2 linked regions of the Stegostoma tigrinum genome follow. The protein of the gene in region 2 purifies or fractionates together with the protein of the main gene of each other region. This does not show direct contact. Links are inferred from orthologs where the notes say so. Each region holds a gene or a part of one and is shown on either strand. Other genes may lie near its edges.

What was found.
Region 1: the proteins of cdk14 (region 2) and ccny purify together in Homo sapiens (affinity purification with western blotting; 3 studies listed by BioGRID and IntAct, with this or other methods). This does not show direct contact. The link is inferred for Stegostoma tigrinum from reciprocal best matches to the Homo sapiens genes CDK14 and CCNY.

Annotation. Positions count from the first base shown.
Region 1 is NC_081355.1:130,754,137-130,770,864, reverse strand, and holds the start of ccny (cyclin-Y), read right to left. Parts: upstream 6,773-16,728; 5' UTR 6,133-6,772; coding exon 5,982-6,132; intron 4,288-5,981; coding exon of another isoform or gene 4,244-4,287; intron 3,664-4,243; coding exon of another isoform or gene 3,455-3,663; intron 1,276-3,454; coding exon of another isoform or gene 584-1,275; intron 1-583. UniProt on the Homo sapiens protein: Positive regulatory subunit of the cyclin-dependent kinases CDK14/PFTK1 and CDK16.
Region 2 is NC_081355.1:110,136,085-110,152,594, reverse strand, and holds the start of cdk14 (cyclin-dependent kinase 14), read left to right. Parts: upstream 1-9,713; 5' UTR 9,714-10,192; coding exon 10,193-10,283; intron 10,284-10,496; exon of another isoform or gene 10,497-10,567; intron 10,568-10,632; exon of another isoform or gene 10,633-10,713; intron 10,714-10,800; coding exon 10,801-10,832; intron 10,833-16,510. UniProt on the Homo sapiens protein: Serine/threonine-protein kinase involved in the control of the eukaryotic cell cycle, whose activity is controlled by an associated cyclin.

The sequences.
Region 1 (16,728 bases), about 21 Mb from region 2:
AGGGGGGATGGGGGGAAGATGGGAGGGGGGATGGGGGGGAAGATGGGAGGGGGGATGGGGGGGGGGATGGGAGGGGGGATGGGGGGGGGGGATGGGAGGGGGGATGGGGGGGGGGATGGGAGGGGGGACGGGGGGGGGGACGGGGGGGGGGACGGGAGGGGGGACGGGAGGGGGGACGGGAGGGGGGATGGGAGATGGGGGGGGGATGGGGGGGAGGGGGGATGGGGGGGGTGGGGGGGAAGATGGGAGGGGGGGAAGATGGGAGGGGGGGAAGATGGGAGGGGGGAAGATGGGAGGGGGGATGGGGGGGAAGATGGGAGGGGGGATGGGGGGGAAGATGGGAGGGGGGATGGGGGGGAAGATGGGAGGGGGGATGGGGGGGAAGATGGGAGGGGGGATGGGGGGGAAGATGGGAGGGGGAAGAGGGAGGGGGAAGAGGGGAGGGGGGAGGGGGAAGAGGGGAGGGGGGAGGGGAAGAGGGGAGGGGGGAGGGGGAAGAGGGGAGGGGGAAGGGGGGGGAGGGGAGGGGGAAGAGGGGAGGGGGAAGGGGGGGGAGGGGGAAGGGGGGGAGGGGGAAGGGGGGGGAGGGGGAAGGGGGGGGAGGGGAAGGGGGGGGGAGGGGGAAGGGGGGGGGAGGGAGGGGGAAGGGGGGGGGAGGGGGAAGGGGGGGGGAGGGGGAAGGGGGGGGGAGGGGAAGGGGGGGGGAGGGGGAAGGGGGGGGGGGGGAGGGGAAGGGGGGAGGGGGAAGGGGGGGGGGGGGAGGGGGAAGGGGGGGAGGGGGGGAGGGGGAAGGGGGGGGAGGGGGAAGGGGGGGGAGGGGGAAGGGGGGAAGGGGGGAGGAGGGGAAGGGGGGGGGGGAGGAGGGGGAAGGGGGGGGAGGGGGAAGGGGGGAGGGGGAAGGGGGGGAGGAAGGGGGGGGAGGGGGAAGGGGGGGAAGGGGGGGAAGGGGGGGAAGGGGGGGGAGGGGGAAGGGGGGAGGGGGGGGGAGGGGGAGGGGGGGGGAGGGGGAAGGGGGGGAGGGGGAAGGGGGGGGGGGAGGGGGAAGGGGGGGGGGGGAGGGGGAAGGGGGGGGGAAGGGGGGGGAAGGGGGGGGGAAGGGGGGGGGAAGGGGGGGGAGGGGGAAGGGGGGGGAAGGGGGGGGAGGGGAAGGGGGGGGTGGGGGGGGGAAGGGGGGGGAGGGGGAGGGGGGGAGGGGGGGGAGGGGGGGGGGGGGGGGGGGGGGGGGAGGGGGGGAGGGGGGGGGAGGGGGGGGAGGGGGGGGAGGGGGGGGGGGGGTGGGGGGGGGGATGGGGGGGGAGGGGGGGAGGGGGGGGAAGGGGGGGGGGAAGGGGGGAAGGGGGGGGAAGGGGGGGGAAGGGGGGGGGGAAGGGGGGGGGAGGGGGAAGGGGGGGTGGGGGGGGAAGGGGGGGGAGGGGAGGGGGGAGGGGGGGGGGAGCGGGGGAAGAGGGAGGGGGGAGCGGGGAAGAGGGAGGGGGGAGCGGGGGAAGAAGGGAGGGGGAGGGAGGGAAGGAGGGGGGAGGGAGGGAAGGAGGGGGGGGGAGGGAGGGAAGGAGGGGGGGGAGGGAGGGAAGGAGGGGGGGGAGGGTGGGAAGGAGGGGGGGGAGGGAGGGAGGGAGGGGGGGAGGGAGGGAGGGAGGGGGGGGAGGGAGGGAGGGAGGGAGGGGAGGGAGGGAGGGAGGGGGGAGGAGGGTGGGAGGGGGGGGGGAGGGAGGGAGGGGGGGGGAAGGAGGGGGGGGGGGGAAGGAGGGAGGGGGGGGGAAGGAGGGAGGGGGGGGGAAGAAGGAGGGAGGGAGGGAGGGGGGGAAGGAGGGAGGGAGGGAGGGAGGGGGGAGGGAGGGGGGGAAGAAGGGAGGGAGGGAGGGGGGAAGAAGGGAGGGAGGGAGGGGGGAAGAAGGGAGGGAGGGAGGGGGGGAAGAAGGGAGGGAGGGAGGGGGGGAAGAAGGGAGGGAGGGAGGGGGGGAAGAAGGGAGGGAGGGAGGGAGGGAGGGAGGGAGGGAGGGAGGGAGGGAGGGGGGGAGGGAGGGAGGGAGGGGGAGGGAGGGGGAGGGAGGGGGAGGAGGGGGGGAGGGAGGCGGGGGAGGAGGGAGGGAGGGGGGGGAGGGAGGGAGGAAGGAGGGAGGGAGGGGGGGGAAGGAGGGAGGGAGGGGGGGGGAAGAAGGGAGGGAGGGGGGGGGAAGAAGGGAGGGAGGGGGGGGGAAGAAGGGAGGGAGGGGGGGGGAAGAAGGGAGGGAGGGGGGGGGGAAGAAGGGAGGGAGGGGGGGGAAGAAGGGAGGGAGGGGGGGGAAGAAGGGAGGGAGGGGGGGGGAAGAAGGGAGGGAGGGGGGGGAAGAAGGAGGGAGGGGGGGGAAGAAGGAGGGAGGGGGGGGAGGGGGGGAGGGTGGGAGGGGGGCGAGGGGGCGAGGGGGCGAGGGGGCGAGGGGGGGAGGGGGGCGAGGGGGGGAGGGGGAGGGAGGGAGGGGGGAGGGGGAGGGAGGGAGGGGGGGAGGGGGAGGGAGGGAGGAGGGGGAGGGAGGGAGGGGGGGAGGGAGGGAGGGGGGGGAAGAAGGGAGGGAGGGGGGGGAGGGGGGGAGGGTGGGAGGGGGGCGAGGGGGGGAGGGTGGGAGGGGGGCGAGGGGGGCGAGGGGGGAGGGGGAGGGAGGGAGGGGGAGGGAGGGAGGGGGGGAGGGGGAGGGAGGGAGGGGGGGAGGGAGGGAGGGGGGGGAAGAAGGGAGGGAGGGGGGCGAGGGGGGGAGGGTGGGAGGGGGGCGAGGGGGCGAGGGGGGGAGGGGGGGAGGGGGGGAGGGGGGGAGGGGGGCGAGGGGGGGAGGGGGAGGGAGGGAGGGGGGGAGGGGGAGGGAGGGAGGGGGGAGGGAGGGAGGGGGGGGGAGGGGGAGGGAGGGAGGGGGGGGGAGGGGGAGGGAGGGGGAGGGGGGGGGAGGGGGAGGGAGGAGGGAGGGAGGGGGAGGGAGGGAGGGAGGGAGGGAGGGAGGGAGGGAGGGAGGGGGAGGGAGGGAGGGAGGGAGGGGGAGGGAGGGAGGGAGGGAGGGAGGGGGAGGGAGGAGGGAGGAGGGGGAGGGAGGGAGGGAGAGGGAGGGAGGGGGAGGGAGGGAGGGAGGGGGAGGGAGGGAGGAGAGGGAGGGAGGGAGGGAGGGAGGGAGGGGGAGGGAGGGAGGGAGGGAGGGGGGAGGAGGGAGGGGGGGAGGGAGGGGAGGGAGGGAGGGAGGGAGGGAGGGAGGGAGGGGAGGGAGGGAGGGAGGGGGAGGGAGGGAGGGAGGGAGGGGGAGGGAGGGGGAGGGAGGGAGGGAGGGAGGGGGGGGGAGGGGGGGGAGGGAGGGGGGGGGAGGGGGGGGAGGGAGGGGGGGGGAGGGGGGGGAGGGGGGGGAGGGAGGGGGGGGGGAGGGGGGGGGAGGGAGGGGGGGGAGGGGGGGGGGAGGGGGGGGGGGGAGGGAGGGGGGGGAGGGGGGGGGAGGGAGGGGGGGGAGGGGGGGGGGAGGGGGGGGAGGGAGGGGGGGGGAGGGGGGGGGGGGGGAGGGGGGGGGTGGGGGGGGGGGGGGAGGGGGGGGGAGGGGGGGGGGGGGGGAGGGGGGGGGGGGGGGGGGGGGGGGGGGAGGGGGGGGGGGAGGGAGGGGGGGGAGGGGGGGAAGAGGGGGGGGGGAGGGAGGGGGGGGAGGGGGGGAAGAAGGGAGGGGGGGGAGGGGGGGAAGAAGGAGGGGGGATGGGGGGAAGAAGGGAGGGGGGATGGGGGTACGAAGGGGGGGGGTGGGGGTACGAAGGGGGGGGTGGGGGTACGAAGGGGGGGTACGAAGGGGGGGGTACGAAGGGGGGAGGGGTGTGCGGGGGAGGTGTGTACGGGGGGAGGGGGGAGGTGTGTACGGGGGAGGGGGAGGGGTGTACGGGGGGAGGGGGAGGGGGGTACGAAGGGAGGGGGGTAAGGCAAAGGGATGGGGATGGGGGAATGAAGGAATGGGGATGGGGGAATGAAGGAATGGGGATGGGGGAATGAAGGAATGGGGATGGGTGTGGGGGGGAACAAAGGGGGTGGGGCGTGGGGATGGGTGTGGGGGGGAACAAAGGGGGTGGGGGGTGGGGGGTGGGGGTGGGGGGGAACAAAGGGGGTGGGGGGTGGGGGGTGGGGGGGAACAAAGGGGGTGGGGGGGAACAAAGGGGAGGGGGTAGGGGGGAACAACGGGATGGGGGCAGGGGGGACGTGGGGGCGGGGGGGGACGTGGGGGCAGGGGGGACGTGGGGGCGGGGGGGGGACGTGGGGGGCGGGGGGGGACGTGGGGGCGGGGGGGGGACGTGGGGGCGGGGGGGGGACGTGGGGGCGGGTGGGGGACGTGGGGGCGGGTGGGGGACGTGGGGGCGGGTGGGGGACGTGGGGGCGGGTGGGGGACGTGGGGGCGGGTGGGGGGACGTGGGGGCGGGTGGGGGGACGTGGGGGCGGGTGGGGGACGTGGGGGCGGGGGGGGGACGTGGGGGCGGGGGGGGGACGTGGGGGCGGGGGGGGGACGTGGGGGCGGGGGGGGGACGTGGGGGCGGGGGGGGACGTGGGGGCGGGGGGGGACGTGGGGGGGGGAGACGTGGGGGGGAGACGTGGGGGGGGAGACGTGGGGGGGGAGACGTGGGGGTGGGGTGGGGGGGACGAAGGTGTGGGGGATGGGGTACAAAGGGAGGGGGAAGGCAAAGGGATGCGGATGGGCATGGGGAATATTTGAAGGAATGGGGATGGGGGAATGAAGGAATGGGGATGGGGGAGATTGAAGGAATGGGGGTGGGGGAGATTGAAGGAATGGGGGTGGGGGTGAATGAAGGGGTGGGGGTGAATGAAGGGGTGGGGGTGGGGGTGGGGGTGGGGGTGGGGGTGGGGGTGGGGGTGGGGGTGGGGGTGAATGAAGGGGTGGGGGTGAATGAAGGGGTGGGGGTGGGGGTGGGGGTGGGGGTGGGGGGTGGGGGGTGGGTGGGGGCACGAGGGGGTGGGGGGGGGGACGAGGGGGTGGGGGGGGACGAGGGGGTGGGGGGGGGACGAGGGGGTGGGGGGGGACGAGGCGGACGTGGGGGACGTGGGGGACGCGGGGGACGGTGGGGGTGGGTGGGGGTGGGTGGGGGGGACGTGGGGGGGATGTGGGGGTGGGGGGGACGTGGGGGTGGGGGGGACGAGGGGGTGGGCGAAAGGAGGGGGGACAGGCAAAGGGAGTGGGGATGGGGGAAAAGGGAGTGGGGATGGGGGAAAAGGGAGTGGGGATGGGGGCAAAGGGAGTGGGGATGGGGGCAAAGGGAGTGGGGATGGGGGCAAAGGGAGTAGGGATAGAGACGAAGCGGGGGCGCGGGAGAACGAAGTGAGGGGGGATGGGGGAACGAAGTTGGGTGAAGGGAAGGGGGATGGAGGTGGGGTGAAGGGGGAATGGGGGATGGGGGGGAATGAGGGGGAATGGGGGATGGGGGGGAATGGGGGATGGGGGGGAATGGGGGATGGGGGGGAATGAGGGGAAGGGGGATCGATGGGTGGAGGGACAAAGGGATTGGGGGAAGGGAGGGGACAAGGTATGGGGGATGAAAGGAGGATGGGTTGATGAAGGGATGGGGATGAGGAGGTGTGGCGGGATGAAGGGAGGACGGAGGGAGAGGGGGATGGGGTTGGAGGGAGGGGGCAATGAAGGGAGGGGGTGGGGAACGGGTGTGATGAAGGGGGGGTTGGTGAAGGGGGTGATGGAGAGGGGAGGGGATGATGGGGGTGATGGAGAGGGGAGGGGGTGAAGGGGGTGATGGAGAGGGGAGGGGGTGAAGGGGGTGATGGAGAGGGGAGGGGATGATGGGGGTGATGGAGAGGGGAGGGGGTGAAGGGGGTGATGGAGAGGGGAGGGGGTGAAGGGGGTGATGGAGAGGGGAGGGGATGATGGGAGTGGGGTGAGGAGAGAGGATGGTGTTGGCGGGAGGGGGAGATGGGGTGGAAAGGGGGAGGAGCGGGTATAGAAGGAGGGAGATCAACAACATCGGGCACATACCGTCCACCGCCTCCCTGTCGCTGATGTGCTGTAGGTTACAGCCCGTGTCCTCCCGGCTGATGTCGGTGTCGGTGCGGTAAGTCTCCAGCCGAGCGTGGTTCCTCCGCAACTTGGGGCTGGATGAGACACAGCAGGAAGTGGTATTCCCCATTTTCTCTCTCCCTCTCTCAGAGTATGATTAATGTTTTTTTTTCCTTGATCGAATGAACGGTCGGATTCAGGTGGTGCCAAAGGAAGTAGGATTTTGCACAGAGAACACACGAGAGATGAAATATATTACAGATATTTAAAACAAGGAGAGAGAGAGGGCAAAAAAATCAGTGTCCGATCAGAGAAACACCCTCATCCGGCCAGAATTAGCACTGCACAGCCATTGAAAAGGACAGGCGAGTTTTCCCCCTCTCTCCCGAGACTGACGGACCAGAGGGGAGATCTGCTCAAAGCTCAGCAGCTGATTTCCCTCTCCATCTCCTTCAACGTCCACTCTAAGCCATTATTACTGCTTTCTTCCTTCTTCCTCGCTGACACTATGAAAGTCAAGCCCTTCACGGTTTGAACGTCCTCCAAGATGGTAATGGCAACAAAAACACACACGCACACCACAAGCTTCAGGTGGAGCCTCGCATCATTGTTGCTGTGTGTGTTCGAGTCTGAAATGGTGACTTAACCCCCAGCACAGACACACACACACAGTAACAACAGTACAGTGTAACCAATCCGCACGAGGAGTTCCGGTTCAAGGGTAGCGATTTGCCGGTGAATACAAAGTGATACACAGCCACCAGCCGAGGCGATAGATTACAGCCGCCGACGGGGTGACTGCAGTAAAACCACCCCCCACAGCATTTTCGGATGTACGGACAGAGAGGGCTGCAAAATTCAAGACAGTGCATGCGTGGATGGGGAATGCTCCGTCAGCTTTAATTCAACTTTTTTTTCACGCAATGCAAATGTTAAATTGTGTTTCTCGGTACAATTTCTCCCGCCTCTCCTGTAAACACCAACCTGAGATTCCACATCAGAGCCCAGCAGCTCTTTTTTTAATGTATGCAAACTCCTTTTTATTTATCCATCTGAATAAATGAGTGTTAGCGTCTGTTCGGCCACAGCACACCTAAACAGTTCCATGTCTTCACAGGTGCACTTTCCATCAAAGCTGCATTTTTACACTCCCTGCCTGAATGGGGAGATGCAGCCCCTCAGCTGCCACCTGAATCAAGTACTGAATATGATACCTTCTGAGTCTTGGAATGATTGCAAAACAGAAGGAGGCTTTTCAGCTCTTTACATCTGCCTGTCTGCTATTTCCCTATCTTCTCCCCGTCACCTTGCACATTCTTCCCTTTCAGTTAATAAGCAATTCCTCGTTAATTGCCCTGATTGAACCTGTCTCTGCCACACTGTCAGGCAGTGTAACCAAGGTCCCACTCACTTGCTCCATGAAATTTTTCCTAATTTTCCTGTTGCTTCTTTTGCCAATCACTTCAAGTCTGTGCCCTGTCGTTATTATCACTAGCATCGATGAGAACAGTTTGCTGTATCCACTCAGTCCAGACCTCTCATAGTTTTGTATGCCTTGTGAGACAGGTACAATTGCAACATTCAAAAGGCATCTAGATGCGTATAAAATAGGAGGGGTTTAGAGGGAAATGGGCCAAATGCTGGCAAATGGTACTGTGTTAGATGCGATGTCTGGTTGGCGTGAGTGAGTTGGACCAATGGATCTGTTTCTGTACTGTATGAATCTATGACTCTACAACTCCTCTCAACCTTCTCTTTTCCCCGTAGTCCTAAACTCAACAATCTACTTATGTACCTCATCCCTGGTACCAATCTCATGAATCCTTTCTGCACTTTCTCCAGTGCCTTCACATGTTTCCCATAGTGTGTGCCAGAATGGGACCCTGTCCAGGAATATGCTCCAGTGACTTCTTTTCCCATCATCCTGAATAAGATTTGGCACTGGAGCGTGTCCAGCAGAGATTCACATGGATGATCCCTGGAAAGGTAGGCCTAACATACAATGAATGGCTGAGGATCCTGGAATTGTATTCATTAGAGTTTAGAAGGTTGAGGGGCGATCTAATAGAAACTTACAAGATAATGTATGGCTTAGAAAGGGTGGACGCTGTGGGGTTGTTTCCATTAGGCGGGGAGACTAGGACCCGTGGGCACAGCCCTAGAATTAGAGGAGGTAAATTTGGAACGGAAATGAGGAGACATTTCTTCAGCCAGAGAGTGGTGGGCCTGTGGAATTCATCGCCACAGAGCGCAGTGGAGGCCGGGACGTTAAATGTCTTCAAGGCAGAGATTGATAATTTCTTGATCTCGCAAGAAATTAAGGGCTACGGGGAGAGTGAGGGTAAGTAGAGTTGAAATGCCCATCAGCCATGATTAAATGGTGGAGTGGACTCGATGGGCCGAATGGCCGTACTTCCACTCCTATGTCTTATCGTCTTATGGCCATCTAATGAGGCAGAGTAAATTTTTTTTTGGACAAACAGAACGTTCTGAGTCATGTGTCAAATCTCAGTTGCGCCATCTACGGGAGGTACCAGACTGAGTGGAAATTTAGCCAGCCTTGTCAACACATTTAAAGGAATGAGCTTCAGAGCAAATAGAAACCAATTAGTGCTGACCTTGTCAGCAATCCCCACACCTGATAAAATAATATAAAAAGGTTGAGTAAACCTAGATGATCCTTTCCATCCGATGTTGAGAGAGCATTCCCAGATTCACTTCTTGCCGTAGGAATGGCCTGTTTTGTGGTAATGTGAAAGAGTTTTAAATTTATCTACGCAGGACTAAAAGCTCTAATATGTAAAGCTTCATGTTAAAATCCAGAAACACCTCAAACAATGATGTTAATACAAGAAAGAAGATAGTTAAAAACAGTTATCTTAATGAATGATACAAACCAATTTTGGTCATTGTAATGCATAACCGCTTTCAGTAAGGGAAGGTGCAACAAGCAATGTCCACTTTGAAAGCAAAAATTCTATCAGTTTTCTTTAGTTTTCCAGAATATCATCTATGATCTTACAATTATTAAATGAAATTATTGTGCATGGTCAACCATGGTGATGATCTTTACATCATCATTATACAGCAATATTTATATAATACAGGAAGCTGTCTGTGTCAGTGGTGACCATTATAGCCAGAAAAGAATTGTTAAACTTCATCCTTCAGCAAGTAGTGGTTATATTTTACTATATATTAGCAGATTGGAATAAAATACTGAAGCTGGAGGCTTAATCTGAAGGGTGAAATTGTGGGAAAAAAAAGTCCTACCATTGGAGAGTAACTTGGATAAGTGTTATTTTCTCAAACAAATTAAGATCTGACAGGAAACATGGCAGAATAAGGATGAATTTTACCCATTTCCTTCCCCTAAAATAAATCTAAGTGATGGAGAATTTGCAATGCTTATAAAGTCAAATTCTGTTTACTAAATGGGAATTTGCTGTGTATGGTATCTCACAATGGACTAATTGAAACTTTACCGACTGCCAGTTTCACAAAACCAGGGCCACAGCAGGTTCAATTATACTCAGCAATTCACTCAGATTGAAATTGTTGCATTCTTGGCACTCTGTCAAAGAACGTAATCCAAAGATGGTGTGGCATGCTTCACTTCCAATTGTGAGCCCTTGACCTGAATGCATTCTTGTCAAGACTGAACACAAAGTTGTTTGAGGTATCACTGGCGGAACCCAGTCACTAATGTGCTATTCCCAGCAATGGCTTCAGAAGGGTCACCCCTTCTGCTTTTGTGTTGAGAGCCCATGATTCAGATGACAGCTTAGGAATGTTAGGTGGCAAGCATGTGAAATAGGTGTAATTGTGTGGAGGGGTCGGAATTTCCCATTGCCAGTGACAGTTCTGTATGGTTCATAAAAGAGGCTCCAAGGGCAATTAGAAAACATCAGGGCCTTAGTTTCCACCTCCACTTCTGTTCATTCTGCATTTTTGATCTTTTGGTTTTTGTAAATCTTCTCAATCTCAGTCTCACTCAATCAGATACCATTCCCCCCTTAATTAAAACGTTATTCTCCTGGGATAACCCAGTAAACACCCTCCTTCCCCCCACGATGACTACATCCTCTAGGCTCTTTACAACCATAATTAAAGATGTTAGAACAGTAATGCCTCCTTGCAAATTCTCCTCCAGGCCATTAGGGACCAATGGGAGCCTCTCTTCCCAAATTATGAAGACAGGAGACTTTTCTGCCTGACAAAGGCAGCCTGGACAGAAAACACAGAGCAGATTAGCAACTGTGGGGACAACCAAATCATGAAGCAGTGCTGCAAAAGGCTCCTTCTTTAATTGTCCCCCCAAAATCAGGCTCAATGTAATAGTGTTCCAAGGAAGATTCAATTGATCTGAAATTTTACCCCTTTCCACAGATGCTGCCAGACCTGTTGAGTTTACTGTTTTTATGTTAAATATAACAGTAGCCTGGGATGATCTGTCATATGGGTACTTTTTATACAGCAAGGCTAGGTATCTGAACTCGAAGTGAGTCTCTGGGCTACATGGCCCTTGGTGCCAAAACATGTGACCACTTTGCTCGAGTGAGCAACTGATATTGACCGAACATCAACAGGCCAGTATACTTGATGGGTCTATGTGCAGACAAGGGGGACAGTCTGCATTTGTAAAGATCCTTTTCCCCCCGCAGGATGAGCAGATCGATAATCAAAAGGGAAAGGCAAAACCGAGTGAAATAGGGCATAATCTTACAGTCCTCACTCAGCCATATAGCTTGCTGGGGAACAGGGAAGCCACACTCAGCTGATGGCGAGGTTGGACCGACAATTACGAGGAGTAATAATGGATCCAATCTGATGTTGGCTGAGGACCACATGCAGAATTATGCTATGCTCATAGACTCTATTAACCTTTACCTATTTCTTTTGATTCTCCTTTATAGTTTACACAATCCACGCCTTTGCCACTGAAGACTGAAGATTCCACATCTGGGTACAAGGGCATTCATTGACCACTGTCACCTATGTAAGCTGCACCCTCCACTTGCTCAGTTACACCCAGCCAAGTCACAGAGGGCATCACATTTAGATCCGTGGTCACATTCTCATGAATGCAGTTCAAAGGTCTTCCAGCAATGAAGGGGGACTGCCACAACTGAGGCCCCAGACACTTGGAGGACCTCATGCTGACTCTGAAGCTGTTGTCTTTTTGATTCTACAGCAGAATCCTGTTACTGGAGAGTACCACGTATGCTGCTCCTGCATAGTAACATCAAGAAACCGCTAACTTCACCCATTGTTCAAATTTTGAGACACCTTTACCTTCTCCAGTAATGTTTGAGTTAGACCAGACACTTTTCAGGACTAAAAGTGATCGCCTGATTATGAGTCTGTCTGATACACTGTGAGCAATTGGAAGATGTAACAGCATGTCTCTTTTATTCAGTATTAATTAGTATTCACTGCATCCAATTATATGATCATGAAGGCCCAAACGACCGGCTTAATTTTTCATTCTTATCCCACCATTGTGAATCCAAAATTTCTACTCCAGCCTGAGATAGTAAGAACTGCTGATGCTGAAGTCAGAGATAACACAGTATGGAGCTAGAGGAACACAGCAGGTCAGGCAGCATCAGTGGAGCAGGAAAATTGACGTGTCCCAACCGAAATGTCAACATTCCCGCTGTTGATAATAAAGTGTGAAGCTGGATGAACACAGCAGGCCAAGCAGCATCTCAGGAGTACAAAAGCTGACGTTTCAGGCCTCTCTGATGGAGGGTCTAAGCCCCAAACATCAGCTTTTGTGCTCCTGAGATGCTGCTTAGCCTGCTGTGTTCATCCAGCTTCACACTTTATTATCTTGGATTCTCCAGAATCTGCAGTTCCCATTATCTCTAATACAATTATTCCTGCTGTTGAGGTTGGTTGGCTCACTGAGCTGGTTTGTTATTTCACAGACATTTCATTACTGTGCTGGGTAATATCATCAGCGCAGCCTCCGATGAAGCATCGGTGTGTTTTCCCGCCTGGTTTTTAAACTCTGGAGTCCATTGAGCTGGATTGCCTCACTTCCGGTTTTCCTTCATAGTGGAATGTATATGGAGTCGAGTTCTACGCCAAAACCTTAAACGTACCTGCACCTCTGATGCTGCCTGGCCTGCTGTGTTCCTCCAGCTCCACACTGTGTTATTTCTACGCCAGCCTGATTATTTCAGCCCACCCACCATGTTTCCTGCTCCCAGAGTCTTCATTAAATTCTGTTGATTGTGTCCTAAGAAAATAATTCCAAGAACTCAAATATATTTTGAATGTAAAGAAAATCTATAATGCCCATAAGTGAAATATGTTGAGTCATGGAATCATAGAATCATACAAATTGTGTCTTGGAAAATCTTCGAAAGAGCTGTCAAATAATCCCCCCCACCTACCTTTTCCCCATTAGTTCTACAATGTTCCCCCTTTAGATACTTTTCCAATGCCCTTTTGAATATTAAATCTACTTCCACCATCTCTTCAGGAATTGCAACCCAGACCATTATAAACACCACATTGAAAAAAAAACTCTTCATCTCACCTCTGTTTCTTTTGGCAATTCTGTTAAATCCATGTCTTCTGGTTTTTAACTTATATACTGCTGAAAACAGTTTCTAGTTAATTATTCTAGCAGCATTCTTAATTATTTTGAGCACTTCCATTAAATCACTCTCTGCTGTGAAGCGAACAACCCCACCTTCTCTGGTCACTCCATTACTGATTTCCTTCACTATTAGTATATTCTACATTAGCTCCTCTGCACACTGTCCAAGGTTTCAACAACTTCACTGAAACACAGTGCCCAGATTTGGAAGTTGGTGTCTAATCAGTGAATTATAACTGTTTAGTTTAACTTTCTTGCTTTAAAACTTTATGCTTCTGTTTATAGTGCAATTTTCTTTAACAGCCTTCTCAACTTGTTTTACAATCTTTTAAGATTTATATATTTGCATCTTCAATTCTTTATTCATGAACCCCCTTTGAAATTGTAAGTTTTAGTTTATATTGATTCTCTTCATTCTTCAAGTCAAAACATACATCCTCCTCCTCAGTATTAAACTGTATCTGTCATATCTGTGCCCAACTGTGGATAATTAGGTTGGCTTGTGATGGGTGCACAAATATACAATTCTAAAACTGTAAGTTAAAAATCTCTAATCAGATATAACTCGAACTTGATCCATTCCACTTCAGTAGAGATTATATTTATGGAAAACAGTGTCCATATTTCATTGGGTAGAAACTGAAATTTTAATATTTTAAATATTGAAAAGTTTCGTGAGACCACATTTTTTATTTATAAAATGTTTAAACTTAATTTAAAATCATTTGAACCCCCTTATCTTAGGGCATTTAGCTAGAAATGTCTGGCCTATACCACCATTCCTACATATTTTGGCAAGGGCACTTTAATCTGTTGCATTGTACGAACTATATTAGGAACAAACTGTTGCAGAGTCTAGCATGACTGCCAAGGTCGGTAGTTGATTTGTCAGGCTGGTCTCTGTCTCTGGTCTGTACCCTAACCCTATCCAACCTTAAACCGTTACAATCAGTTGGCAGGACTTAAATGGGCACATGGCCCAGTGCCCAAATAACAGACAAGGGGTTCTGTCTCATCACTTGCCTTTACAATAAAAACCATAACAATCCAGACACAGGAGGAGTGGACTAAGTGCAGCAAAGTGACACAAACTATGTATTTGTATTTGAAACAACCACAAGACAAGAGCTTGAAAACAATATGTTCAGCAAATCTGGACATGACATTGAAAAGAAACACCATGTAATGTTAACTGTTGGAGAAAAAAGAGCAGAGAGTAAAGAGTCATCAAACAGAAGATTTAATTTTAGACTGAGAGAGTGACTAAAGACAGCCTTTAATGGGTATACAGACCCAGAAAGTATTTGTTTAAAAAGTTCCCATAATCTGAAGGGCAGAATCTACAGAAAGTAGCAGAAATGAGTTGCTTTTTGTTTCTCAGACAACTCAAATTTTAAATTCCAATGACACCTTCTTTAGTAAGAGTGCACTCAGAATCTCCGTAATGCGCAAATTTAACCTTCCAATTTCAGGATGTGTAGACTCCAAAAGTCTACAGCAGCAGTGAAGAATAACTATCAGTTGTCCTAGATGAGAGTGCTGCTGCAGAGGAAGGGGAAAGTATCAAAAACCCACCATACACTTGGGTGTCAGCACTCAGAAATAGTATTAATTGATGACATGTCATGATTATGTGTCCAGTGCTAACAACTCCACGGGGAGCTGCAGTATCAGAGAGAGTGGCAAAGATTATTCAGGACAGGACACCAATTGTCAAATTATCTGAACACTATCGCAGAAAGCAATCTCTTTAGCAAGGCATCACTAACAGGAGCACGACAGCCAGGAAGCTGTGTGCTAACTGTTAGTTGCTGTAGGTATCGGGCTTATTAATAATATATCAAGTTAAAATGGACAACTTCAGCAAATGTACATGGTGAAAACCTTGACCAAAATATCAAAAGATGATGTGCCTGTCCCACTGTCTTACTCAAATTATGCTGGGGCACATAATTCCAGTTCTCATTGGGATAAAGAAGATGAAATCCATACTTGCCTCAGCAACAGGTAGTTTATAGGACATATGTATTATTACTGGAATATATTCTCCTCATTATTATTGGGTTGGTATACTGTTATATTTATCAACTTCTTAAAAAAAATGTCAAATTTGCATTTAACGCAGAATGTAAATGTTTAAATTAGTTAGAAGATGTAAAGTCAGGTGCAGTTGTAGTCACTTAAGCAGCATTAAGGGGGCAAGAGATGTTGATGAAAATATTGAGTTCCATTTTAAACTTGTACCGTCTAAGTAGTACTTAGTGGTAGTGACAGGGCTCTTGTCAAATCTGAGGACCTGGACTAATTGCTTTTGGCGAAGGCATAAAGGAGGAACCTCTATTTATTGCCAGGTCCTTCAAACAGGGTTGATACATGTCTCTTCTTAGGAAACGACCCTTTTAATGGCATCATTTGGCATTTTAAAAATTCATTCATGGGACATGGGCCTCGCTGTTTGGCAACATTTCTTGCCCCTCCCTCGTTGCCCTTGAGAAGATGATAGTGAGCTGCCTTCTTGAACTGTTGCTGTCTGTGTGCTGTAGATTTACCCACAATGCCCTGAGGGAGAGAATTCCAGGACTTTGACCCAGTGATACTGAAAAAGCAGCAATATATTTCCAAGTCAGGATGGTGAGTGACTTGGAGGGGAATTGCAAATGGTGGTTTTTCTGTGTATCTCCTGTCGTTCTCCATCTAGATGGCAGTGGTCATGTGTTTGGATAGTGCTGTCTAAGAATCTTTGGTGAATTTCTGCAGTGCATCTTGTAGGCAATGCACACTGCCGCTACTGAGTGTCAGTGGTGGAGGGGTTGGATGCTTGTAGATGTGGTGCCAATTAAATGGGCTGCTATGTCCTGGATGGTGTCAAGCATCTTGTGTGTTGTTCAGGCTGTACCCATAATGCAAGTGGGAGTATTCTATCACACTCCTGACTTCAGCCTTGTAAGATAGCCTTTGGCAAGTCAGGAGGTGCAGTATTCCTAGCCTCTGACCTGCAGTTGCAGCCATTGTGTTTTTGTGGTGAGTCCAGTTGAGTTTCTGGTCAATGGTAAACCCAAGGATGTTGATAGTGGTCATTTCAGTGATGGTAACACCATTGAATGACTAGAGGCAGTTACTAGCTGCTTGTCAGCCCTACCCTAATATTGCCCAGATCTTGTTGCATTTGAATATGGATTGCTTCAGTATCTGAGGCATCACAAATGGTGCTGAACATAGTGCAGTCATTGGCACATTCCCACTTCTGACCTTATGATGGAGGGAAGGCCATTGATGAAGCAGCTGAAGATGGTTGGGCCTAGGTCACTACCTGAGGAACTCCTGCAGAGATGCCCTGGAGTTGAGATAATTGACATCCAACAGCTGCAACCATCTTCCTGTGTACCAGGCATGACTCCAATATCTGATGCCCATTGATTCCAGTTTTGTTAGTATTCCCTGACGACGCACTTAGTCAAATGTGGCCTTGATGTCAAGGGCTGTCACTCTCACTTCACCTCCGGAATTCAGCTCTTTTATCTATATTTGAACCAAGGCTGTAATAACATCAGAAGCTGAGTGGTCCTGACAAATCTCAAACTGGGCATCGCTGAAGAGACGCAGCTTGACAGCACTGTTGATGAGATCTTCCATTACTTTATTAGGCTGATGGTGCAATTGGATTTGTCCTGCTTTTCATGTATAGGGCATACCTGAGCAATTTTCCACTCGTCGGGCAGACGTTATTGTAACTCTACTAGAACAGCTGGGTTGGGGTAGCACCAAGTTCTAGACCCTTTGCAGTATTCAGTGCAAAGCATCCAGTTTCTTGATATCATGTGCAGTGAATTGAATTGGCCGAAGACTAGTGTTTGTGATGCTGGGAACCACTGGAGGAAGCTGAGATGGATTGTACACATTGCCACAAATGTTTCAGACTTATCTTAGTCCCTGAACTGTTGGGCTCTTCCATCAATGAAGACGGGGATATTTGCGGAGCCTCCTCCTTCACTGAGTTGTTTATTTATCCACCACCATTCACAACTGGATGTGGCAGGACTGCAGAGCTTAGATCTGTTCGATTAGTTGTGAGCTTACTTAGCTGCGTCTATCACTTGCTGCTTATGCTTTTTG
Region 2 (16,510 bases):
GGGGACTGGTCGGGCCTGTGGGGCAGGAAGAAGCGGAGGGCCTTGAGGCCATCTGCATGCGGAATACAGGTGTATAGGGACTGGACATCCATGGTGAAAATGAGGCGTTGGGGGCCTGGGAACTGGAAGTTCCGGAGGAGGTGGAGGGCGTGGGTGGTGTCATGGATGTAGGTAGGGAGTTCCTGGACCAAAGGGGAGAGAATGGAGTCCAGATAGGTGGAGATGAGTTCGGTGGGGCAGGGACAGGCTGAGACAATGGGTCGACCAGGGCAGGCAGGTTTGTGGATTTTGGGAAGGAGATAGAAACGGGCCGTGCAGGGTTGAGGAATATTGAGGTTGGAGGCTGTGGGTGGCAGGTCACCTGAGGTGATGAGGTCATGAATGGTGTTGGAGATGATGGTTTAGTGCTCGGGGATGGGGTCATGATCAAGGGGGCGGTAGGAGGTGGTGTCGGAGAGTTGGCGTTTGGCCTCGGCGATGTAGAGGTCAGTGCGCCATGCTACCACTGTGCCACCCTTGTCTGCGGGTTTGATGGTGAGGTTGGGGTTGGAGCGGAGGGCTGCCCGTTCTGCAGGGAGAGGTTGGAGTGGGTGAGAGGGGTGGAGAGGTTGAGGCGGTTAATGTCTCGACTGCAGGTGGAGATGAAGAGGTCGAGGGAGGAGAGGAGGCCAAGGGGGTGGTGTCCAGGAGGAGGACTTGTGTTGGAAGCGGGTGAAGGGGTCAGTGGAAGGGGAGGGTTAGGCTCCCGGTTGAAGAAGTAAGTGTGGAGGCGAAGGCGACGGAAAAACTGGTCTATGTCCAAACGTGACTGGTATTCGTTGATGTGTGGTTGTAGGGGTACAAAGGTGAGCCCCTTGCTTAGGAATGAACGTTCGTCCTTAGTCAGTGGGAGGTCTGGGGGGATGGTGAAGATACGGCAGGGCTCAGTGTGGCTGTCTCCTCTGGGGTTGCTGGCTGTGGAGGTTGTGGGCGGAGCGATGAGGTGGTCGACTATGGGCAGGGTTCCGTCAGCGTCGGCCGTGGGCGGGGTTCCCTTGGCGTTGGCCGTGGGCAGGGTTCTGTTGGCCCAGTTCGTCCCCTCCCCTCACTGCATCACACAACCAGCCCAGTTCATCCCCTCCCCCCACTGCATCCCAAAACCAGCCCAGCCTATCTCTGCCTCCCTAACCTGTTCTTCCTCTCACCCATCCCTTCCTCCCACCTCAAGCCGCACCTCCATTTCCTACCTACTAACCTCATCCCACCTCCTTGACCTGTCCGTCTTCCCTGGACTGACCTATCCCCTCCCTACCTCCCCACCTATACTCTCCTCTCCACCTATCTTCTTTTCTCTCCATCTTCAGACCGCCTCCCCCTCTCTCCCTATTTATTCCAGAACCCTCACCCCATCCCCCTCTCTGATGAAGGGTCTAGGCCCGAAACGTCAGCTTTTGTGCTCCTGAGATTCTGCTTGGCCTGCTGTGTTCATCCAGCTTCACACTTTATTATCTTGGATTCTCCAGCATCTGCAGTTCCCATTATCTCTGCTTCTATGCAGTCCGTAAACCTCTATTTCCAGCCTATTCACACATTATTAATTTAATTCTACTTACCAAGGACGTTTCATCGCTCCTCTTAACTCCTTGTTTGAGTTCTTTCCTGTTATCTTTGTATTCTTTGAGACCTCGGTTTTTCTTTTGTTTCCTAAATCTTATATATGCTTCCGTTGTCTTTTTGATTAAGATCTCAATTTCTCTTGTCAACAAAAATTTCCAAATTTTGCCATCCTTTTTTTTCATTTTCACAGGAACATTGCAAGTCCTGAACTAGAATCAACTGGCCTTGAAAAGATTCCCATATGACAGATGTGGACTGATGCTCAAGTGGCCACCCCAATTCATATTCCCCAATGGCGATAGCAAGAACTGCAGAGGCTGGAATAGATGACAAAGTGTGGAGCTGGATGAACACAGCAGGCCAAGCAGCATCTCAGGAGTACAAAAGCTGATGTTTTGGGCCTAGATCCTTCATCAGAGAGGGGGATTGGGAGAGGGAACTGGAATAAATAGGGCAGAGGGGGAGGCGGACCGAAGATGGAGAGAAAAGAAGATAGGTAGAGAGGAGAGTATAGGTGAGGAGGTAGGGAGGGGATAGGTCAGTCAAGGGAAGACGGACAGGTCAAGGAGGCGGGATGAGGTTAGTAGGTAGGAAATGGAGATGCGGCTTGAGGTGGGAGGAAGGGATGGGTGAGAGGGTGAACAGGCTAGGGAAGTGGAGACAGGCTGGGCTAGTTTTAGGATGCAGTGGGGTGAGGGAACAAGCTGGGCTGGTTTACTGATGCAGTGGGGGGAGGGGAAGAACTGGGCTGGTTTTGGGATGCACTGGGGGAAGGGGAAATTTTGAAGCTTGCGAAGCCCACATTGATTCCATTGGGCTTCAGGGTTCCCAAGTGGAATATGAATCGCTGTTCTTGCAACCTTCGGGTGGCATCATTGTGGCACTGCAGAATGCCCATGATGGACATGTCGTCTGAGGAATGGGAGGGGGAGTTGAAATGGTTCGCGACTGGGAGGTGCAGTTGTTTGTTGCGAACCGAGCGGAGGTGTTCTGCAAAGAGGTCCCCAAGCCTCAGCTTGGTTTGCCCAATGTAGAGGAAGCCACACCGGGTACAATGGATACAATATACCTCATTGGCAGATGTGCAGGTGAACATCTGCTTATTATGGAAGGTCATCGTGGGGCCTGGGATAGGGGTGAGGGAGGAGGTGTGGGGGCAAGTTTAGCACTTCCTGCGGTTGCAGGGGAAGGTGCCGGGTGTGGTGGGGTTGGAGGGGACCGTGGAGCGGACAAGGGATTTGCGGAGAGGGTGGTCTCTCCGGAAGGCAGACAAGGGTGGGGATGGAAAAATGTCTTGGGTGGTGGGGTCGGATTGTAGATGGCGGAAGTGTCGGAGGATGATGCGTTGTATCCGGAGGTTGGTGGGGTGGTATGTGAGAATGGCAGGGATCCTCTGGGGGCGGTTGTGGCAGGGGCTGGGTGTGAGGGATGTGTTGCGGGAAATGTGGGAGACGCAGTCAAGGGCGTTCTCGACCACTGCGGAGGTAAAGTTGCGGTCCTTGAAGAACTTGGACATCTGGGATGTGCGGGAGTGGAATGCCTCATCCTGGGAGCAGACGCGGCGGAGGCAGAGGAATTGGGAATAGGGGATGGAATTTTTGCAGGAGGGTGGGTGGGAGGAGGTGTATTCTAGGTAGCTGTGGGAGTCGGTGGGCTTGAAATGGACATCAGTTACAAGCTGGTTGCCTGAGATGGAGACTGAGAGGTCCAGGAAGGTGAGGGATGTGTTGGAGATGGCCCGGGTGAACTTGAGGTTGGGGTGGAAGGTGTTGGTGAAGTGGATGAACTGTTCGAGCTCCTCTGGGGAGCAAGAGGCAGCGCCGATACAGTTATCAATGAAGTGGGAGAAGCTTTTATGCCCCTGAGATGCTACTTGGCCTGCTGTATTCATCCAAATCCACTTTGGTATCTTGGATTCTCCAGCATCTGCAGTTCCCATTATCAAAGATAGCAAAACGTCTAGGTGCTGGAGTGCTTTTCTGTTGCCTCCTCCTCCGTGCTGTTTCCACCACCTCTGCACCTATTTCTTTGATCAGGCGTCTAACCCTCCCTCTAACAACCCATACTCCTGCTTCCAGTAAACCCCATCTTCTGGATACCAACCCACAGCCTCTTAACCTCCCTTGACGTCTTCATCTGAACTGCCGTTGTGAAATCAATTGTCTAATTCTCTCCACCCCTCCCACTCACTCCAACCTCCATCCCACAACAGAATGTGCAGCTCTCTGCTCCACCCCCACCCCCACCATCAAACCTGCAGCTAAGGAGGCACAGTGGTGGTAAGGTGTACTGACCTCTACATCTCCGAGGCCAGGCACCTACTCTCGGACACTTTCTTGTACTCTGCCCTCGACTGTGACCTCACCCCTGATCACCAAACCCTCATCTCCTGGACCATCAATAACCTCACTACTTCAGGAGACCTCCCACCCACAGCCTCCAACCTCATTGTTCCTCAACCCCGCAACACCCATTTCTACCTCCTTCCTAAAATCCACAGTCTCTGCCTGCTCCTGCCCTGCTGAATTTATCTCCACTTACCTCGACTCCATTTTATCCCTCCCCGCACCAGTCCAGGAACTCCCCATCTACAAAACTTTCAAATCTCCAGCCTCGAACACCTCATTTTCAACATGGATATCCATTATCTGCACTATTACCTCCCATGAGGAGGGCCTAAAAGCCCTTCGCTTCTTCCTCTCCTGCAGGCCTAACCTATTCCCCTCCACCGATACTCTCCTTTGCTGAACAGAACTTGTCCTTATCCTCAAAAAATTTTTCTTTAACTCCTCCCACTTCCTACGAACTAAAGGGGTAGCAACGGGCACTAGCATGGGTCTGATCTATGCCTGCCTCTTCGTAGCAGACCACCCCACCCACCTCCAAATCCAGCTCATCATCCTCCGCCATTTCTACCATCTGCAAACTAACCCCACCACCAAAGAGATGTTTCCCTCCGCACCACTTTCTGCCTTTCACAGGTGCGCTCTCTCCGCAGCTTTCTCATCTGCAACTCCCCACTAACCCCAAAACCTGTGGCTCTTTTCCCTGCAACCGCAGGAAGTGCGACTTCTGCCCCTATACCTCCCCCCTCACCTCCATCCAAGGCACCAAACAGTTATTCCAAATCTGACAGGATTCACCTATGTGTCCTCCAGCCTGGTCTACTGTATCTGTTGCTCCTGATGCGGTCTCCTCAACATCGGTGAGACAAAGCTGAAACTCATTGACCAACTCAGAAAGTACCTGCGCTGTGTACGCAATAATCAACAACACCTTCCAATTGCCATTTTAATTTGACCTCCCACTCCCTGGGTGACATGTCCATCCTGGGCCTCCTCCACTGTCACAATGATGCTACACATAAACTGGAGGAACAACATCTTATATTCTGGCCTCAGGAGCTTACAGCCCAATAGCCTCAACATAGAATTCACCAGTTTTGAAATCTCCTCAGCCCCGGCCTCATCCCTTGACTAACTCTCCCTCTCATCCTCGCCTCCTTAACCTGACACAACCAGTCTATCTTCTTTCTCGCCTTCCACCCAACCCTTCCCATGGCCTATCTCCACAACCTGCATCCATCTATCACCATCCCACCTCCCTTACCCTAGCCTCACTCCCTTCCTCCTCGCCAGTCCTGATGTAGGGTGTAAACCTGAAACATTGATTCTTCTGCTTCTCTGATGCTGCCAGACCTACTATGTTCCTCCAGTTCCACACTGTTTTGACTATATTCCCCCATTCTGCCTACTATTGTGGTAATTAGCCTTCACTATTTGAGTACTTTCGCTTGAGTAGTACTCTTATCCATAAGTAATTTTAAACCTACAGAATTATGGTCACTGTTCCCAAAATGCCCCTACGCTGAAACTTTGATCATGTGGCTTGGCTCACTCCTCAATACCAGGACTGGTACGGTTCTTTCCCCACTGGGACTGTTTCAAAAATCCTCCTTGATGCACCGAACAAATTTGTCCCAGTCAATATAAGGGAAGTTAAAATCACCCATCACAACTACCCTATTGTTTTCACATGTTTCCATAATCTGTCCACTTTATCCGTTCTACAAGTATGTGATAAATAAGAGGATGACTAGGGTAGGAATAGGGCCAGTCAAAGACCGAAGTGGGAAGTTGTGTGTGGACCCTGTGGAGATCAGAGAGGTGCTAAACAAATATTTCTCATCTTTTTCACTCAGAAAAGGGAGAATATTGTAGAGGAGAAGACTGAGTTATGGGTTACTAGAATTGAAAAGATTGAGGTTAGTAAGGAGGAGGTGTTATCAATTCTAGAAGGCATGAAGGTGGATAAGTCCCCTGGGCTGGATGGGATTTTTCCCAGGATTCTCTGGGAAGATAGGGAGGAGGTGGTGGAGCCTTTGGCCTTGATCTTTGAGTCTTCATTGTCTACAGGTTTAGTACCAGAGGACTGGAGGATTGCAAATGTTGTGCCCTTGTTCAAGAAGGGCAGTAGAGATGACCCAGGTAATTATAGACCAGTGAGCCTTACGTCTGTTGTAGGAAAAGTTTTGGAAAGGATTATAAGAGATAGGATTTATTATCATCTTGCATCAAGCAACAATTTGATTGGATATAGTCAGCACGGATTTGTCAAGGGCAGGTCGTGTCTCACAAACCTCATTGAGTTTTTTGAGAAGGTGACCAAGCATGTGGATGAGGGTAGGGCAGTTGACGTGGTGTACATGGACTTCAGTAAAGCCTTTGATAAGGTTCCACATGGTAGGCTACTGGAGAAAATACGGAGGCATGGGATTGAGGGAGATTTAGCAGTTTGGATAAGAAACTGGCTTTCTGTAAGAAGACAACGAGTGGTCGTTGATAGAAAATATTCAGCCTGGAGCCCAGTTAAGAGTGATGTGACTCAAGGATCTGTTTTGGGATCACTGCTATTTGTCATTTTTATAAATGACTTGGACGCAGGCATAGGTGGATTGGTTAGAAAGTTTGCAGATGACACTAAAGTTGGTAGAGTGGTGGACAGTGTGGAAGAATGTTGCAGGTTGAAGGGACACTTGGATAAACTGTAGAATTGGGCTGAAAGATGGAAAATGGAGTTTAATATGGATAAATATGAAGTGCTTCACTTTGGGAAGAATAACAGGAAGGCAGAATACCAGGTGAATGGAAAGATTCTTGGTAGTGTGGATGTGCAGAGGGATCTTGGTGTCCATGTACATAGATCCCTGAAAGTTGCCACCCAGGTTGATAGTGCTGTTAAGAAGGCTTACGGTGTGTTAGGTTTTATTGGTGGAGGGATTGAGTTCCAGTGCCGTGATGTCATGCTGCAACTGTACAAAATGCTAGAGCGGCCTCACTTGGAATATTGCATGCAGTTCTGGTCACCCCATTACAGGAAGGATGTGGAAGCATTGGAAAAGGTGCATAGGAGATTTACCAGGATGTTGCCTGGTCTGGAGTGAAGGCCTTATGAAGAAAGGCTGAGGGACTTGGGTCTGTTCTCATTGGAGAGAAGGTGGCTAATAGGGGATTTAGTAGAGACATACAAGATGATCAGAGGATTAGATAGGGTGGACAGTGAGAGTCTTTTTCCGAGGATGATGATGCCAGCTTGTACGAGGGGGCACAGCTGCAAATTGAGAGGTGACAGATTTAAGATAGATGTCAGAGGCACGTTCTTTACTCAGAGAGTGGTAAGGGCGTGGTACACCCTGCCTGCCAATGTAGTTTACTCAGCCACATTAGGGGCATTTAAACAGTCCTTGGATAAGCATATGGATGATGATGGGATAGTGTAGGGGGATGGGCTTACATTAGGTCACAGGTCGGCACAACATCGAGGGCTGAAGGGCCTGTTCTGCGTTGTATTGTTCCATGTTCCTGTATCACCCACTGGCTTTTGGGAAGCCTGTAGTATAAACCCATCCAAGTGACTGCACTCTTCCTATTCCTCAGCTCTACCTATATGGCATCACTGGATGGGCCCTCAAGATGGCCTCCCTCCATGCAGCTATGATATTGTCTTTTAGCAATAACATGACCTCTTTTAAATCCCTCTCTATCTCAGTGAGCCAGAGACCCAGGTTGAAGGCCTAGCTTTGGGTGGCATGGCAGCTCAGTGGCTAGCACTGCAGCCTCACAGCGCCAGGGACCCGGGGTCAATTCCCACCTTGGATGACTGACTGTGTGGAGTTTGCACATTCTCCCAGTGTCTGCGTAAGTTTCCTCTAGGTGCTCCGGTTTCCTCCCACAGTCCAAAGATGTGCAGGTTAGGTGGATTGGCTGTGCTAAATTGCCCAGGGTGTTCAGGAGTGTGTGGGTTATAGGCGGATGGGTCTGGGTGGGATGCTTCAAGGGGCAGTGTGGACTTGTTGGGCCAAAGGGCCTGTTTCCACACTGTAGGGAATCTAATCTAGCTGTTCCAGATTCATGTAATAACATCTTTGAACAGATTGGTAAGGAAATATATTGGGAGAAAAACAACATAAAGCCAAAGTTGTCTGTTTTATTTGAAATTCCTTTGAAGACTGAAATGTATACAAATAGTCATGATGTTCTCTGGAAACAAATGCAACTTAGAGACAGTCAACTATGTGGGGTCATAATGGTATAATTGTCGGGAAAATTTTGAATTGAAGCATGCCTGATGCAAATGCTCATACTTGGCTGGAAGTACATGTTGATAACAGCCCCAAAAAAACAGAAAGATTCTCTCTATAATGAAAACATTTTGAATTTTTAAAATTCAATTAATGACCTTGATAAATGACTACTAGTATGCCCTATTTATTGCAGATTTGATAATTAGCCTTTGTTTGTATAATTAAAGAAAACCTTATTAGCATTTTATCAAGAATGAAGAATCAGATAACAAAGGATGACAAGATTCCCCAGGATATAAAAGAATGTGCAGAATCCTGTCCTCATAGATACTTACAGATCGAGAACCTTATCCATGTCAACTGAAAAGCTTTGATGCTCCGTGGCCCACTTAACCACTTTATGATTGAATTACGATGTTGATGATGAAGTAATTTGCAGCCTGGAGGAAATGTTGCCCTTGTGAACTTTCCCCTAGTCTCCCCTGCCATCAGCTCTGTGATGGGGGGTGGGGGGTTGAGGGCCCAAAATAACAGAATGCAATTACTAAACATCCTCGTTACGTCTTCTTCGGTATACATTTATAAAAACAGTTTGAAGTTCGCCAACTTTGAATATTATCAATGTATCTCTTTCTAAGACGAATAAAACAGACACGGAAGTTACTAATTAAAAGTCAGACGAAACAAAATATCGCTGTCAGTATGCGGAGATATGCTTTCCCCAACATCCCCCTTGTAATTGAACAAAGAAACGTTAGCTGCGCACCTTATCAGTGAAAATGTGACCTGATGTAGCTACTGTGTTAAAACGAATAAACTTAAGTTAGGAATCGTTTGATTTGTTTTGAAACGTCAGATGAAATGCCCAAGGCGGAGGGCGGGCCAACTTGAAAGGAAACTAATAGAGTTAGCATGAGCAAGGAGGAAAAGTGTAGGAGCGTGTTTTCTTGCTATTTGTGTTTTCACAGCTACGAGGAGCATCAGCATCATTAGGTAAGCAGACAATTTAAATCTGTCCTATGTTAAGGATGTTATTACTGTGTCGTTACCAGGCTGGCTGCAGGCTACTTTCTGATAGCTGTAATTTTTAGTCAAGCACGAATGTCGATAGCCGTGATGTCATCAAGTTAATGAGATTGGGCCATTCCCTAATCCAAAATAAATAAATGGGAGATGATTTACAACCGAGTGCTTGGGTCTGGGAGGCTTTCTACACAGTTTATTCTGAACACAATTTTTAATTAAATTATAAACACTCCACATCTATTTTAAATAAATCGTTTCCAATTTAATTAGGTAGTAACCCCTATCGTTTTCAGCTGAACAATGTTTCTCCACTGTGCCAAATAGTTGAACCACAAAAAAATTGAGAGAAATATCTGGGTGGCAACCAACTCTTGGAGCCTGCATCCTCGAGGGGGCGGGCTGCAGAATGATTGACGTGCTGCCGGTCCATAGATTGGGAGAAGGGCTGCGGAAGAGAGCCAATCGAGAGAAAGGGGATGGGTTTTGGCGCACCGGAGTGCCTCCGACTTGTGGAGAAAATGACAGCCCAGCTTCGTGAGTCTGTGAGAGGCTGAAGTGCCTGTTCACTGTTGGCTCGGAGCTGACAGTGGTTATCACTCAAAGAGCAAACCTTCCTTTTCGCTCTTTCTTTCTCTCACCCCTCCCCTCCTCTCCCGCCTTGTTCGAAATTCAGACGAATTGATTCCAGCGCCGCTTATCTGGATGAAATACTTTGTCTTCGTGGCGTGCCAAGATTTCTCGAGAGAGAGAGAGGGAAAATCTCGAACTTGTTGGGAAAAAGAACGCCGAGAGGCTGTGAAACACTTCCTGTGTTTGACAGGAGGATGGAGGGAAGCCTTCAAACTTAAGCCCACTGCTTCGTCTCTCACTTGCTGCTATTTGTTTTAAAGAGGGAAGGGGAAACCCATTATTTTGATTTTCGACTCCCCATTCAGACCTTTACCGAGGACTCGGAGCGAGGCACCAGATTGGATCATTCTGCCGGAGATGTGTGACATGATTTCAGAGCAGTCGACTGAGAAAATCGGCAGAATGAAAAAGTTGAGAAGAACTTTGTCTGAAAGTTTCAGTCGTTTAGGTGAGTGTATTACTTACTGAAGTTTTTGATCTCTTAACTATTTGGTGAAATGTAGCCTTTAGTTTCGCTTTCTGGAAAGTGTGTTCATTCTTTCGGTTTTTAAAAATATGTCCATTGACTGTTAGTTTTTTTTCCTCCTCTCCCTTAAAGATGAACACTTTCACAGTGGTAAAGCTAGCTGGCGCAGTTATCACAGTGTTCTCTTCTGTGCGGTGCTAGCTTCATAAAACAAGCTGCTGATATACTCTACTACATAAGAAACCTCCCAATATTCTGAACCTTTTGTGCGTACTATAATCCGCAATACCGTTAATGAAATGGCTTGGGTTATTATAAAGACACTTAAGCGTAGAAGAATTCCTTCTAAAAAAAAATCAGAACGGAGGTTTTCTAAAAGCTCTGCTTTGCCCATGTGGGTAATGGGTATAAAGTGAGTGTAGGTACTTGGATTATTGGGAAGTTACACGCAAGCTAGGCATTAATTTACCGTATGTTTCTGTTTCTCTTTTTGTTTTAGCCTTGAAGAAAGACGACAATAACTTCGATGAGGTAAGATACACGGTTTAGCTAAATGTGTTAGGTACAGTATTTGCAGTGAAGTATTGAATAGAAGTTACTGTTTTCTTTTGGGACATTGTGTAAGACATTATCCTTTATCCTTGTGACCAGAATTCAAATCTAGATCAAACTCTTTTTGGCAGTCTGAAGCTATGTTAAGTGGATCCGTGGAGGATTTTATTTTGTTATTCAGCACCACCCCACGTTTTACTTTTTTGAGCATGTTGAATACAATACATTGTGATTCAGAAAATACATTCAAATTGACCAATGTAGTTCCTATTTTTTTTGTAGTATATTCAAGGAATTGGAAAGATTTAACATTTCTGGACTAGTCTGATTTGCAATTATAACATTGCTCTGGATTCTAAGACCTGTATTAGTGATGGTTTATAGAATCGCTTTTGTGGGTGAAACTAGGATTAACTGTGAGCTGATTGATATAAACAAGACATTTTTGAAGGCTAAATGGGAAACTGGGTATTTCCTGTGTGTACTGTAAGTGTCCAGCTGTCCATTCTGTCCTGGGAGTGCAAAGGGTTAAATTGATTCAACACTTCTGAAATAAAAGCTCTCTCTGTGTAGATGTTGTGCCACCAATCCTCATTCATTGAAAAGTTTTACGGTAGAGATATTGGGACTTCACCTGTCTACAAGAGAATTGTTACTGCAATGCCTTTGGACAGTGAAATGAACTTTGTAAATTATCAAAATATATCTAGATATATACTTCATCTCTTAAAATAAGATCGTCTTGTTTACTCAATGTGAATAAATATTGTAAAGAATCAACAATTTTCAATAGAATGTCCAGGAGAGAGCAAAAATATCCTTGAATAGGATGGAAGTTATGGCAACATTCCCTTATTTTTACCACTCCTAATTTCACAATGAAGGCACTTTCCCATAGAAAGGAAAGATTATACAGGATGGGGTTTAATTTGAATTTTTTTAATTGCATAAACATACTATGTTTGCATAATTTAATGAATTATGCAGTGCATCAACTGTAGATATGAGGATAGCATTAATGTATTCATGCCTTGTGAAGGCGGTTTATGGCACTCTCCCTTATGTTTATTTCTGGAATTTACTGACCACTGAGACCAGTTTCAAACATATTTATCTGTTCTGAGAACTTGGTGACTTTCTCCTGGATAAGGGTTAAAGAAGATACATAAACAGCATCTGTTTTGGCGTGATTACAGTCCTAGAGTGATGAGCTTGTCAGGAGATGCCTGGTATGCAGAATCAAAATCTGATACTGGATCCAGGCAGGTCTGTAGTACTCCAAGGTAATGATGATTGATCAGTAACCTTGGTCGGTTAATGGAACCTGTAAGGCTAGCTATGTTTCTTTTGAGGCAGAATTCTTTGTTCTCTGCTCTAGATAACCCTGAACCTTGATCTAAATAGATATCACTATTACTGATATTCATACAATTGGCAGCTCTTTTGGATTTCTCAATTTGTTTCATTCTGGTATTGTGCACATAAACAAAAAAAATTGTTTTGGTTTTGTTTTCTTTAAAATATATAGGTGGTTATTCAGGGCAGCATTGTTAGGATAATTTCTGCCAATCTGAAATAATAATGACCCCATTCACTTGTGATATAATTCAAACTGGTTTGAGATGCAAAAACTGTACAACGCTTAATTTGTAATGTTCCTTTTTAACAAGGAATTTTTATTGCTGCTCTATTAGCAGATGTTTCACATTACAAATGATCAAACTCATTCAAATATCACCTACTTTATCATGTGTCAATTAAATTCAAATTTGAATTTGACTGACTTCTATTATGACACTTAAAAACTTAAAATTTTGAAGTTACCTTCTTGGCTTAAAAAAATGCTGCCCTGAAAAGGTTTTTTAGCATTCTGCTGCAAATCCACAAAAATTCATTGAACGAAGTGCTTTTCTGTCAATCTAAATTTGTCATTATATGACAATGGAATGTTGCATCAGCTGTTTCTTTTTACAGTTTCTTCAGCTTATAATTGTGAAATAACTCAATGTTTAATCTCTTTTGTGTTTTTAAGAAATATTGGGTAAGCTCAGTTGATTTTTCACTCCATATTTTACTGGACACATTGAGAGTAGGTATGGTATGTCACATTTTTTTAAAAAAAGAAGTTACTTTCTTTACAAACTTTTTAAACAGCAATCACCTGCCCCATCATCTGTCCACTCATTCAAATAATTAGTTTTTGCAGAATCGGTATGAAGCAAGCAATGTTTCAAAGCTTGTGCAATATTTGGAGGTAATAGCCAGCATTACATACAGATTAGCAATGATTCCTTCCTTTGTTCTAACAAAGCCGTGAGTTGTGGCTCCTTTTTTTTTTCCGGTAAGCGGACCTGAGAGAAATAATGTGATTTATAATAATCGGTATTTCAGATCTGTACATTCTTAGTTCACATGACAGATGATCTGTGATGCACTCGAGGAAAAGAAACTTCAAAACAAAGCTGTTCTTGGTTTAGTACGTGGAAAAATATGCAAATCTGGACAGCATGAAAAATGTACCCACTCCTCAGTCTTGTATTTGGTGACTATAGCAACTTCCCACTGAAAATGACTGTTAGAAACACAATTGTTGGAGGGGGTGGGGTGGTAAATCCTGCTTTTAATGTAGCTATAATGGTATGTTAACATTGAATGCAGCATGAAGAAATTCACCTATTGGTGTTTTTGCCCACATGTCCAGTGTTGGAGTGCAGAATATTTGGCTGTAGAATTTGAATTCTGTACCTCTTTTTTTTTGTGTTCATTGCCTCCATAGTGAATGTATGTTTTTTAAAACAAAAAATTGTAGTCATTTTAACATTTGGTAGTGTTATTTTTTTAAAATAAAAGGCCCATGCCAACAGTACCTCTCGGTGCTGTGAAGAGCTTACCAATACTGTGGTTTCAAGTTCTCTTGATCTTGAATATGCTTTGGAAAAGATGAGTGACCTATTTAAAACTTCAGGCATTCTTTGGATTAGTGTGCTGTATTTAGTTTTGTATTGATGGTTGTGGAAGAGTCTTTAAATGGGTTTCGCGGTATAGAATGATGCTTTGGATGGAATACTTGTATGGTTTCTGTCAATTAAGGGTTATTAGTACATGGAGGACATTGCAGTTAAAGTCTTTAATAGACTGGAAAGCAATTGGTATAATGAAGGAAGTTATTAATCATATGTTAAAAATAAAATCATGACAGCTACAATAGTGTTCCACTTATTTTTCAATAATCTCTACTTTATCGCTTGTTCTGCAATACTGTGATATAATCAAAATATTCTATGAACAACAGTTTTGTCCGTTCCACAGAGGCCCACTGAAACGTGTTTTGAACACTCTCTCTCTAGGTATGTTTCTTCTCTAAAATCATGGTAGAAACTCCAGCTCTGAAGTGGAGATTCCCATGAGTCTGAAATGAGTTGCTATGTAGCAGCATTGGAAAAATTGTGTGTGCTGTGCAATATATGGGTCACAAAAAGATTTTAAAAAGTTGCTCAAGAGAATTTGCTATTAGTTACTTTGATAATACAGAATTTAAGCATTTCTGGGGGGAGGCAGGAAAACAAACAATAAACACCCATGCTACCAATGGCTTTATCTTGCACTCATAAGGAGAGATGCAAGAATGCCATATTTCAAAAAGCAAAAATTTATACTCTGTGAGGAGGGTGCTGAGTAGCTAGTTAAGCTTGGTTATACGTGTTGCCATAAAGAACAGTTACTTGGGCCAATTTTGGAATTAAATGAAAAGTCTTGATCTGTTTTCCCCTTGCAGAGGATGGGTCCTGCCATATAAAGGCATGCAATATTCTGGTGAGCAGAAATGAACCGTATTGTGCATCCTTACAATCATTAGCTAACTAAGATGGATAAGGATTGGCTCAAACTAGAATAAAAGGTGTGCAATGCTATGATGACTTGATAGTAGGCCAAACATTTGAGAAAGTTTTTGAAATGTAATGAGGGGAAAGAATTGGAGCATGATGAGAAAGGTAGGAAAATATTTAAAGTTGGACAGGAATAACTGTTTAAAAATGTACAAACAGGTAAATGGCTTTGGAGGGTGAGACTGGAGAGGGTAGGAAACAAAGACAGGACAGAAGATTTGAACAAGTGTTTTGTATCAGTGTTCATGGCAGAAGATGTAAAAATCGTCCTAAGGTTGGTATTAAAAGAAGAGGGGTGGGGGGGTGCGTGGTTGGTGAACCTAAATACAACGGGGAGAATGAAATGGAAATTCCAGTTGTATTTAAGGCTGAAAAACCAGATGGCTTGCAGTCTAGAGTCTTAGAAGTAACTGCAGGCTACTAGATGCATTTTGAATATAATCCTGCAAGATTCCCTAAGTTGTGCAAAGATCAGAGTGGATTGGAAAACTGCAAATGTGGCAACTCCACTCAAGACAGGAGGAGGTGGCAAGCAGGAAACTGTGCCATAATGAACTTGATATCTGATCAGAGAGCATTTATTGTTTCAAGGTATGGGCAGGTCAGGATTTTTAGATAATCCCTGTACAATCAAGCACAGTTAGTACATTGTTTCTTTTTATCATTTTTTTTTTGAGGATGTAAAAAGTAGGTGGCTAAGGGGAAACTAGTAAATGTAGATGGAATCTTGCTCAGCCAGTGAGAGCTGTGCTGTCTTTTTCAGGGAAGGCCATTTGAATCCAATGCCAGTCAGACACTGGCAAGGCCAATAGTGGGCCTTCAGTTGGAAAACAGACCTCGCGGATGGAAGTCCTGCCCAGTGATAGAGGTTGCTGTCCTTAAGCTGGCGAGATGGGAAGGTCAACCATCAACACTCCTGTCCTAGGTGCTTTATTCTGGTGGAGTTGGGAAAATGACAAAAATGTGGGTGCGGTACCATCCTGCCCAAATAAGTGCCCTTTCTGCCTTCAAGCTCTCCATTTACAGAAGCAAAAGATCACACTTGTAATGAATTTTCATGGCCAACTTAAAGATCTTTAGGAAATGTAAAGAGTCTATACACATACAATATACTTGTTTACTATATTGTATCAAATATTATATGTTGGGAACCAACTAACAGGAAAAGGAGTTGGCTAAATGGATCCCTTGAATTGAAGACCAACTAATGGGGTGTCATAGTGCTATGTGCTGAGGCCTCAACTATTTAAGATCAATATTAATGACTAGAATAAAAGGATCAACAGTTTTATTCAAATTTAACTGATATGATAATGGGCAGGAAAACCAAGTGTGGGGTCCAGAGCATCTGCAAAGGATAGATAAAATGAGTGGGCAAATATTTGGCAGACTGTGGGAAATATGAAGTTGTCCACTTTTGACTGTAGAAAAGCAGAATATTTATTCAAATAGAGGCTGCAGAGGACTTGGGTGCCCTTTGTATGTGAAGCACAATAGGTCAGAATATAGAGAAAGCAAGTAATTAGGCAAATGAAATGGTGACCTTGATTGCAAGAGGTTAGAGTGTAAAAGTAGAAAAGTCTTTTGTTACGTCTGTGCACAGGGCACTGGTGAGACCACATCTGGACACATGGTATGTCATTTTAAGGTGGGAATTACTTTCATTGTAAGCAGTTCAGAGCTTCCTTTTGGAAAAGGAAATTATCATGTAATTAAAGGTTGGGTGGTTTGAGCCTAAGTCAGTGGAGTTTAGAAAAAACATGAGGATAA